Linked DNA regions of Arabidopsis thaliana. The protein of the gene in region 2 interacts with the protein of the main gene of each other region in a biochemical or structural test. Each region holds a gene or a part of one and is shown on either strand. Other genes may lie near its edges. The genes, in order: BTI2 and RAB8.

What was found.
Region 1: the proteins of RAB8 (region 2) and BTI2 form a complex in vitro, tested with the Arabidopsis thaliana proteins (one study listed by BioGRID).

What each region holds. Positions count from the first base shown.
Region 1 is NC_003075.7:6,837,133-6,841,855, forward strand, and holds BTI2 (VIRB2-interacting protein 2), read right to left. Parts: upstream 2,905-4,723; 5' UTR 2,447-2,904; coding exon 2,194-2,446; intron 1,873-2,193; coding exon 1,692-1,872; intron 1,603-1,691; coding exon 1,461-1,602; intron 1,371-1,460; coding exon 1,301-1,370; intron 1,214-1,300; coding exon 1,044-1,213; 3' UTR 779-1,043; downstream 1-778. Other genes in the region: AT4G11230 (Riboflavin synthase-like superfamily protein), read right to left, coding at 3,659-3,768, 3,861-3,939, 4,025-4,153, 4,245-4,454, 4,537-4,696.
Region 2 is NC_003074.8:19,875,615-19,880,537, forward strand, and holds RAB8 (RAB GTPase homolog 8), read right to left. Parts: upstream 3,179-4,923; 5' UTR 3,081-3,178; coding exon of another isoform or gene 2,928-3,080; 5' UTR 2,776-2,927; exon of another isoform or gene 2,653-2,775; 5' UTR 2,651-2,652; coding exon 2,578-2,650; intron 2,150-2,577; coding exon 2,077-2,149; intron 1,989-2,076; coding exon 1,888-1,988; intron 1,787-1,887; coding exon 1,721-1,786; intron 1,568-1,720; coding exon 1,470-1,567; intron 1,378-1,469; coding exon 1,315-1,377; intron 1,219-1,314; coding exon 1,126-1,218; intron 1,001-1,125; coding exon 917-1,000; 3' UTR 618-916; downstream 1-617. Other genes in the region: AT3G53600 (C2H2-type zinc finger family protein), read left to right, coding at 1-445; AT3G53611 (uncharacterized protein), read left to right, coding at 2,928-3,080. UniProt on the Arabidopsis thaliana protein: Involved in membrane trafficking from the Golgi to the plasma membrane.

The DNA.
Region 1 (4,723 bases), on a different chromosome or scaffold from region 2:
TTTTTATAGACTAAATTATATAATTCATAGATGGTTCATTTATGCAATAATAATAGTTATCTGATTCCGGGAACATATGATATGGCCATTCTTTTGTTTAAGAAAAAAAAAAAGAAAAACCATTAATGAGAACATGTGTTGAACCAAAACAATTATGACAAGTTTGTGAAATGATCCTGTTGTCACAATTATTTTGTTGAAAGATAAGAAGTGGAACCCATTATATTATTATGTTTCAGGATTCACCATTTGATACAAATTGATCTTAAGCGTTTTAACTTTTAACTAGTTACTTATTTAGCTGATTGTTACCTGAGAAACATAAGACCGTTTAAGAAAAAACAAAAACATGGTTAAATGAGAAAACATAGTATAAAGGAAAGAAAAAAGAAGGTAATTATAATTTAAAATTAACAAAAATATAAATTGTCAGCAGTGGGGTTTGAACCCACGCCCTCGTAAGAGGACCAGAACTTAAGTCTGGCGCCTTAGACCACTCGGCCATACTGACATTTGTTAATATTCATACTTATTACATATATATAACCAGTAAATATACAAACATGTTATATTTTTATTTTTTGGACAAATAAAGTAACAAACACTTAAAAAATGAGCTCAGAGAAAATAAAAATCTAAATTGTCAGAAGTGGGGTTTGAACCCACGCCCTCTTACGAGGACCAGAACTTGAGTCTGGCGCCTTAGACCACTCGGCCATCCTGACTTGTTTGATATCAAGACATACTACAAATATATAATCGAGAAAAAACGATATTTGAGTAACGTACCATATTAGAAACACAGAAATCAATCAGTACATTAAAAATATAGATCAAGAGAACGACTACAATCATTGTGCTAATGCCACAAACCACTCCAAAAACAAAGCAAAGTTGTCAAGTAAAATTTGGGTTGAGATCTAACACATAACCTTTTAGATTACCAATTCACAACACAACACAACCCACGTGTATAAAAACCAGAGCATTGTGCACATTGCACTCCAAAGAAAACCCACACAAAACAAAAACCCCAAAAAAAACTAATCCTTCTTCTTGTCTTTCAACGGTCCTCTTGGGATTTTGCTGAATACCTTTGCGTCCAACACAGCGTATTGCTTCTTCAACTCAGCCATTGCTTTCTCACCGTATGAGTCTACTTTGTCTTCGTACTTGTCGTAGAAAAGAGGAACAGTGAAGAGCAGAACCAGAGCTGGACCAAATCAATAACCGTTCATCAGCAATGTCAGAATAAGAGAGAAGGCAGAAGCAAAATACTTTTAGCAACAGTAAGTGTTACCTATGTATGCCAATGTCAAGAAACTATAGCAGCCGCCCAAGATCGATAGAACCCACAATCCGGCAATAGCCTAATTCAATCAAACAGTACAATAAGTGTCAAACTTAAGTGAGACATCGAGAGAGGAGTAACGAGTAAGTCCAGGACAGTTTAAACATACAGAGAGGAACTTCTTGATATCCCTCCCCGACGCAATCTCACGAAGAGAAGAGATCCCACGGTTGATTTCGATTCTAAGACCCGAAGCAAGCTGAAGAAGAGGTTCTTCAGGGATATGAACTTCAGGAATCTTTGGTGGAGACCTGAAAGAGAATGAAAATTTGGTAACGAAGATGAGTCAAATAAGCTTGACAACCTTGACCTGTTTCATATGATTGACCACAAAACTTACTTGTGAATGAACATAGTGGCATTAGACCATAGAAACAACACAGCAAGAGCAACGATCATAACGTGACATAACAGAGTAAGAAGATGATACTCCATCAATTCAAATAGCACCCATGCCACTGTAGCACCGCCAAATACACCTCCTGACATTTTCTTGTCCTTCCACATAAATATATCTGCCGCTGCAATTAAAAAGATCACCAAATTAGGGTTTATCAATCACGAAATAAGAACCATATCATCAATAACTACAAGAATCTCACAAGATCATTATACACATTTCCAAAAAAAAAAAAATCAATTCCATCACAAATTCTCTCAAACTAGTCAGAAATCAAAATCGAAATCGAATTCAAATCAATGTAAACCTCTATGTAGATTCAAACGATCTTCTTCACGGATCCCTTAAACTAGTGAGAAAATCAAACAGATCAAGCCAACGCAAACGAATTCGTTTTAAAAAACTGAGAACAAATATCGAAACGGGATCAGAGTAAACATACGTTTTCCGCCGCCGAGAACCTTATGAACAGGTCTCTCTCTTCCGAACAAACGATAAACCTTCGATTTCAAAGACTTTGGAGACGATGACGAAGACTTCTTCTCGTTTTCGTCATCTGATGATGATGAAGACGACGAATCACCTTTGTGATGGATCTTCTCCGATAACTTCTCCATCAACGATTCCCTCTCTACAACCTCCACTGCTGGATCCAAATTAGGTGAAGATTCTTCATGCTTATGTTCATCCGCCATTGTTTCCGATTCAAGAGAAGAAGAAGAACGATCAAAGTTATTGTTCTAGCGTTTTCGTTACACCTCTGAGAAGAAAGATCTCGAAGTCGAATGAAAAAACCAACAATAAAAGGAGGAAAATTAGAATAAATCTGAGCCGTTGAATATTTTGTTTCTGATCTGATCCGTTGGTTGGTTCGGATCCAAACCTGCTGCTTCCTTAACTAGAGCGATGCTTAGGAAAAGATAAATGTCGTGGGGACATATAAAAAGTGTTTTCACAGGACCGAGATGTTAACGCTGTTAAGGATAACGGCTTTTTAAGTCACGTGTAATTAACGGCTCTGTTATTAAAATGGCTATTAAACTTTTCTGGTTCAGGTGTCACGCGGCTGGACAAAGAAACGGTCGAACCGGTGGTCATGTGACACGTGGTTGAATCGTAGCCGCTTGCTTATGTGACTCATGTACTTTCGGTCTGCATTCAAAAGACAATGATAATTTAATTATCTTGACACTAAATTAAAATAATATTTTGCTGCTGGCCAAAAAACTAGAAAATAAAAATATTAGAGAAGTAGGAACCGTCTCTTGGTTAAAAGAAGTGTTTAAAAAAGAATGCTCTAGAAAGTGAAAAAGCATTTAACTTGACAGCGTTAGCTCGAGTCGTAATATGGGCCCAATGAGCTAAAACAATGATGAAGCCCAGTTACTTTCTCATGTCCAAGAAAGCAAATATGATTCAAAACCGAAACCATGATTCTAAACCGGTCAAGAACCAAGGAACAGTGAAATTTTTGAGGCTTTTGAGTCAGTTCGGGTTTAAAAAGACCCTTTTCCCCAGCTTTCTTCATTCATTTTCAAGTTGATAACCAAATGGGCCAAACTAGTTATCGGCCCATAATAATAAGAGAGCTCAAAGACAGGCCCAATAATAAGTGCTCAAATTTGAAAACAATTGAACAGACAGAACCAATCATCCCAATGATCCCATCATCCCCCTTTGTTTGAATTTCTCATTTTTACTCCTTTACACTCTTTTTTTCTTCACAAGCTTTAACTGTGACTTTTTACATTTTTTAACAGTCCTACTCTAGATGAAATGGTTAAAAGTTGGTATTTGTGATACACAAAACGAAAAGAAAACACAACAAGTAGGATACGAGAACGAACATGAACATTGATTCATTCATTCAAAAAACCATAATCGTGGGGGATTAATCCTTTTACCAGTTAGAACTGTTCTTTGTGGAAATCGAACCTGGTAATTCCCGTCTGGTTAAATTCATGGCAGAGTGTTGAAAGTTCCTTCCCCAAACTTGGAACTCCACAATAGAACACTCCTGTAACAAACAAAAAAACATTCTTCAGACAAGGCAAATATACACCGCGATATCGAATATCATTTCAGTGAACTGATGTTTCTGTGTGTTACCAATTCTTGCGTTCCTATGTTTGGTGCTAATCTTTGATAAAACTTTCTTCCATTTTGGCCTCCCAAAATGTGTCCTTACCTAAAATAACCAAAAGTTGTTATACAAGATCAGAAAAGAGTGTTGTTTGTGATAAAGTAATCAACTAATCATTAAAGATCATTACCTTGGTTCCTGAAAAAATGTCGACGCCATTTTTGGCATGGTTTAACGTTTGGATCATAGTGAGAAGATTGGATCGAGTATCTCCTTCTTCGTAGACGCTAGTCAAGTAGTTGTGCATCTCAATAACACCCTTGTAGTTGTTCACAAGACAAATACGTCAGTGAGTAACTTGAAATCATACAATCTTTTGAATTTAAAATGAATAAGTGTATTGTTTTTACCTTTCTATCTGAATCAGCAATCTCGTTCATGATTTCTTTGAACCAATCGAACGAGCCTTGTTCTCGTGTTACCCAGTAAAAGTAAGCATTCTTGGTATTCAGCGTCTTCCGTTGAGTTTGCGGAATCCGACTCGCAGCTTCTGAGTTTAAGCAACTGAAACTGTGATCCGACGAGATGTTGCTGTTACTACAACTACCTGAGATGCATTCCTGAGAATATAACATAACTCCAAAAAAGTTTAGTTGAGATTCTGTTACTCATCAACAAGGTTTTTAAGCTTGTTATACTCACAGCTTGTTCCTGTTGCTTAATAATGTTATTGAGTAGATCTCTCAAAATGCTAACGAAAGGTGTTGCGCCGATTCCAAGGCCAACCAGTAATACCACATCATACTTCCAATGGTCTTGCGCTGGAGCGCCATAAGGTCCATCTATCAACAGCTCTGGAAAACTATATTACAAGAGAGAGTATCAAAAT
Region 2 (4,923 bases):
CGTGGTCAAACAAATCGATGTAAAGCAATCTACCGGAAGCAAAACGAACCATAATAACCACTTCGAATGCAAAACGTGTAACCGGAAATTTGATTCCTTCCAAGCTCTTGGAGGTCATAGAGCTAGCCACAAGAAACCTAAGCTGATCGTTGACCAAGAACAGGTGAAGCATCGTAACAAAGAGAATGATATGCATAAGTGTACAATTTGCGATCAAATGTTTGGGACCGGTCAAGCTCTAGGCGGTCACATGAGAAAGCATAGGACGAGCATGATAACCGAGCAATCGATTGTCCCTTCTGTGGTTTATTCCAGACCGGTTTTTAATCGTTGCAGTAGCAGCAAGGAGATCTTGGACTTAAATCTAACTCCATTGGAAAATGATCTTGTGTTAATCTTTGGGAAGAATTTGGTTCCACAAATTGATTTGAAGTTTGTGAATTAGTAGGGTTTTAAACCTTTCTCTGTACTTTTGTTGTTGTTTTTTTCTCTCTTGCTACACATTATTTCATTCTTTCCGTCATGTATGCATACACAATTTGTTTGAATAAAAGGTTTCAATTCTTGCAATGAGTGATAAAACATTAATAGTTGAAAGTTTGAAACAGAACCATTCTCGAATGTATACATAGAATCCAATATCATTGGTGTGTGAGTGAGATAAACTGATATTATCATAAGTCATAATCTGATGTCAGAGAATCCATTCCAGAAATATGGAATACGAATTGTGTCCTTCACAGTCACACTATACCATTAGGGAAAGAGAGAATCTTAAAAGAATACGTAGAAACACCATCTCATATAGAAGAAAAGCAAAAGAAGATTGATTTCCTTTTTCATTTTTTCTTTCCAAATACCATTTCTCTTTCACTAGCCAGATTCTCTCCTTTGACAGGCGTCGTGGACCCAATTTTTATGTGCCGCAACATGCTGATTTCTGAGTAGCTTGAGATGTTCCCGCACCTTGGTCGGATTGGTTGATTTTGATTGTTTGCGGCTACAAAAATGATAAGAAATTCGATGACGTTAGTAAGGTTGATACACATACTGAAATGTGATTTTTACCACAATTGCAATGTATGAATGATGACAGTGGAAATTAATTCTATAGCTCAAACGAACCTCAGCTCGTGCATCGGTATCTGCAAGTCTTTGCTTAATGTCTTTAGCAATAGAGAAGAAAACTTCCTCAACGTTTAAGTTAGTCTTGGCACTCTGCAATTAGCAAACTCATCAAAGTTAACCATTTAAAAAGAATTAGACCTTTCCCTATATCTATTGAAATGTAACAAAACATAGACAACAACTTACAGTCTCGAAAAACTTCATTCCATATTCATCTGCAAGAGCTTGGCCCTTAGATTTTGGCACAGCCTGGAAAAACAAAGCAAATCGGTGTATTAGCCAAATAGAAACATATAATATTTAAACAGGACGAAGATAGGAGGGAGGGTAAAAGAAGAGACTCTTTTGCTTTCATCCATATCTGCTTTGTTCCCAACTAGAATCTTGTTGACACTATCAGAAGCATGCTGCTCAATGTTACGGATCCAATTCCTGATGTCTGGAATTGAAGAAAACAAAGGATGAAAAAGAACAAATTAGTTGAGTAGAAAATAATAAAGCTAGCAAATGGAAAAATATAAAGTTTAGAACCGTTGCAAGAGCTTGTTGGGTGGCATAAGGACTGCAAGTAAAAAGTAAAGAGAGTACTTACTGTTGAAAGATGATTCATCAGTCACATCATACACAAGCAAAATCCCCATGGCTCCACGGTAGTACGCTGCAATAAGAACAAACTACTCAGGTGTATTCCAGCGAGGAAGGCAAAGATGCATAAATAACAGCAAAAAGAGAAAACGAAAAGCAAGATCGAAAACACACCAGTTGTGATTGTGCGGAACCGCTCCTGTCCGGCAGTATCCCAGATTTGCAGCTTAATTCTCTTCCCATCGAGCTCAATAGTCCGTATCTTAAAATCAATCCTGTCAAAAACAAAAAGCAACTTGAGTAAGAACAGTGAACTACATAGAGGACGTGATAACACAGTGTCATTGCATGAAGACATCATACCCAATAGTTGTAATGAAACTGGTGGTAAACGAGCCATCTGAGAAACGTAAGAGAAGGCAACTCTTACCAACACCTGGTACATGAAAGAAAGCAAAAGTCAGATAAAACAGAGACATTAGAATAATCCACTGGAACATAGTGAAACACTTACTTACAACAATCAACAAAGGAATATTCAAATCAATTTGGCTAAAGCATTTGCGGCATTAACATCTAGAGAATATAATTAAATAGCTACAGCATTCATTTGTGATTCTCCTCCATCCTAATACCAAACTAAGAAGACTATGAACATCATATGCTCACAATTGTTGAAATGAGATCCAAATCTGAGTAAGATGTGTTACTCAAATCACTGTTGTCTCAAGATCCTTCAAACAAAACTTAAATTGTAATCAACAACAACAAAAATCGAGAGAATCAATCAACAAAAAGATAGAGATTGAATAAAATGCAGGGAACAAAAGGTAGTATTACGATCTGAATGATATAGAAACCTACCGCTGTCTCCGATCAGCAGAAGTTTAATGAGGTAATCGTAATCAGCACGAGCTCTAGCAGGAGGAGCAGCCATTTCTTAACAAAATCAAGTAATTTCCGAGAAACGGATCACTGGTAAGCAAAGAGAGCAAAAACTGGAGACAAAATTTAAATCGAGAATCAATTGTGTAGAACCTAAAAATCGAAAGAAGGAAGTACCAAATCTACTCGGGGAAGATAGATCGTCGGAAGCAAGCAAGACAGTAACCAGACGGCCGTTGAATTTTTTTCTTCCCCCGATTGGCTTTTTTCGGAGATTCAGAAGTTTTTTTTTTTTTTTTGGTTAGAGAGAAGAGGGAGAAGGAGAGGGAATGGATCTGGACCGTTGGATCTTGTTCGTGGAGATCTGTGTTGGTCCGGCGCGTGGTCTTCGGTTACGGTTTGATAAATTTCGAACCATGGGCCTTGGGCTAGTTTTATTTTTGTGTGCTAAATTTATGATTTGGTGTCCACTAAATGTTTAGTTTATTCTTACTGATCCAACCCAACAGGTTACAGAATTGATGAAGTATATTCATACAGTATATGTATTTTTCTATATTTCGTTCTGAGTTGCGTTGCGATTAAGCTCTGGGAAAAAAAAAGTTGTTTCAATCCCTTCACTTGTAAATAAACTCAATTATTTAACTCCAAGGGGACGCAAAGGTTAGGCAAAATAATAATAATAATAATAAGAGTTAGGCAAAAAGAGAGCGATTGACAAATTGAGGAAATTTGAATATATTGTCGTCGGTGTTAAGCAAATAATCATCCAAAGAATAAAGCGTGGATAGGAATCTACAATGATCCTACGTAGCATCTAATGTACTGCATGAGCATTCGTTTACTCAACCCCATCCACCGATCATCCGCTGCGGACAAGTCCACATCTTCACTTCTTCACGACCAATGAGGTAATGCCACGACGAAAGCCTTTCCTAAAATTACACGATCCATTTCCTTTTCTAAATGGATACGAAGAGTGTTTCCATTGACATTAAAGGAAAGCTAACTTTACTTAAAATATCGTCCTTGAGGTAACAAAAAAGTTTAAGCCCCTATACTGTCTTATTTAATGTTTTTTTTTTACTCTTACACTATTTAGTTCTATGTTAATCCAAATTTATCCAATTATTTCCGATATCTAACTATTATCCAAAAAAATTAGGGAATGACACGACACGACGTAAGCCTTTCCTAAATTATACGATCTAGTTTCCTTTTCTAAATGGATACGAAGAGTGATTCCATTGACATTAAAGGAAAAAGTTAAAGCATACATTCTCAGATTTGTTTTGAATGTAGACTGCAATTATTACGTTAATGTGATCGTCTTATTAATGCTTTTAACTCCAATTTACAATGAGATTCATGTTTATCCAATTTTATCCCAATCTCATTAAACTCTTACCATACAAAAAGTCAGAAAGATTATCCAAAACCTTCCGATATGAAAATGGTAATTATTTGAAATGCACGTGTATATTTATCATAAAAATTAATCATAAAACGGTGCTTACGGTGATGGTAATTGGTGACTTGTATCAATCAATGCCAGTAACCGATTATAATACGAGTTCAAATACCAAAAAAAAAAAGAGCTGTAAACAACAAAAATCCATATAATATCTAATACTTTTAAAAGTATAAATCTAATAATTTAAAATAATAATAAGTTAGTAATTTATTTTAAACTCCTAATATCAAAATAGTATAGAAATCCTATACTATCATAGGAATCCTAAAAGTATAAATTATTTTAAATTCTACTAATTTAATAGTTACCAGCTGAAAAAAAAAATAAAAAAAATAAAAAAATAATAGTTACCAAAATTACTATCATAGACAATCCATGCATTTTTGCATGAATCCTAATACTATATAAAATACGATAAACACCCATATTTATCATTTTACACATCTTTTTGTTTGAATTATCCATATACATTATGTATAGAAAGAAAATAAAAACGAATATTCACTTGACAGATTAACATATGCTTTTCTTTTGATTGCAGTTTGTAATCCACCGACAGAGAAATTGCGATGTCATAAATCTGAACACGAATTTTCGGTGCACTCGCCAACACCTGATCTCAACTCTCTCCAGCATATTCCCCAAATTAACAGTAGCTAACGGAGACTTAACGTGGACTCCTCGCAATCCGAGTCACTTTAACGTGTATCAGACAGCCAAACCTTACGTTGACCCCACCGCCGTTAGGAATTCCGTCTATGTCTCTTTTTCCATCATCCAATAAAATCTTGCCACATTGACACTTTCGGGTCCGGACATATTCCAAAATTAAAGAGAATTTAATTTATTGT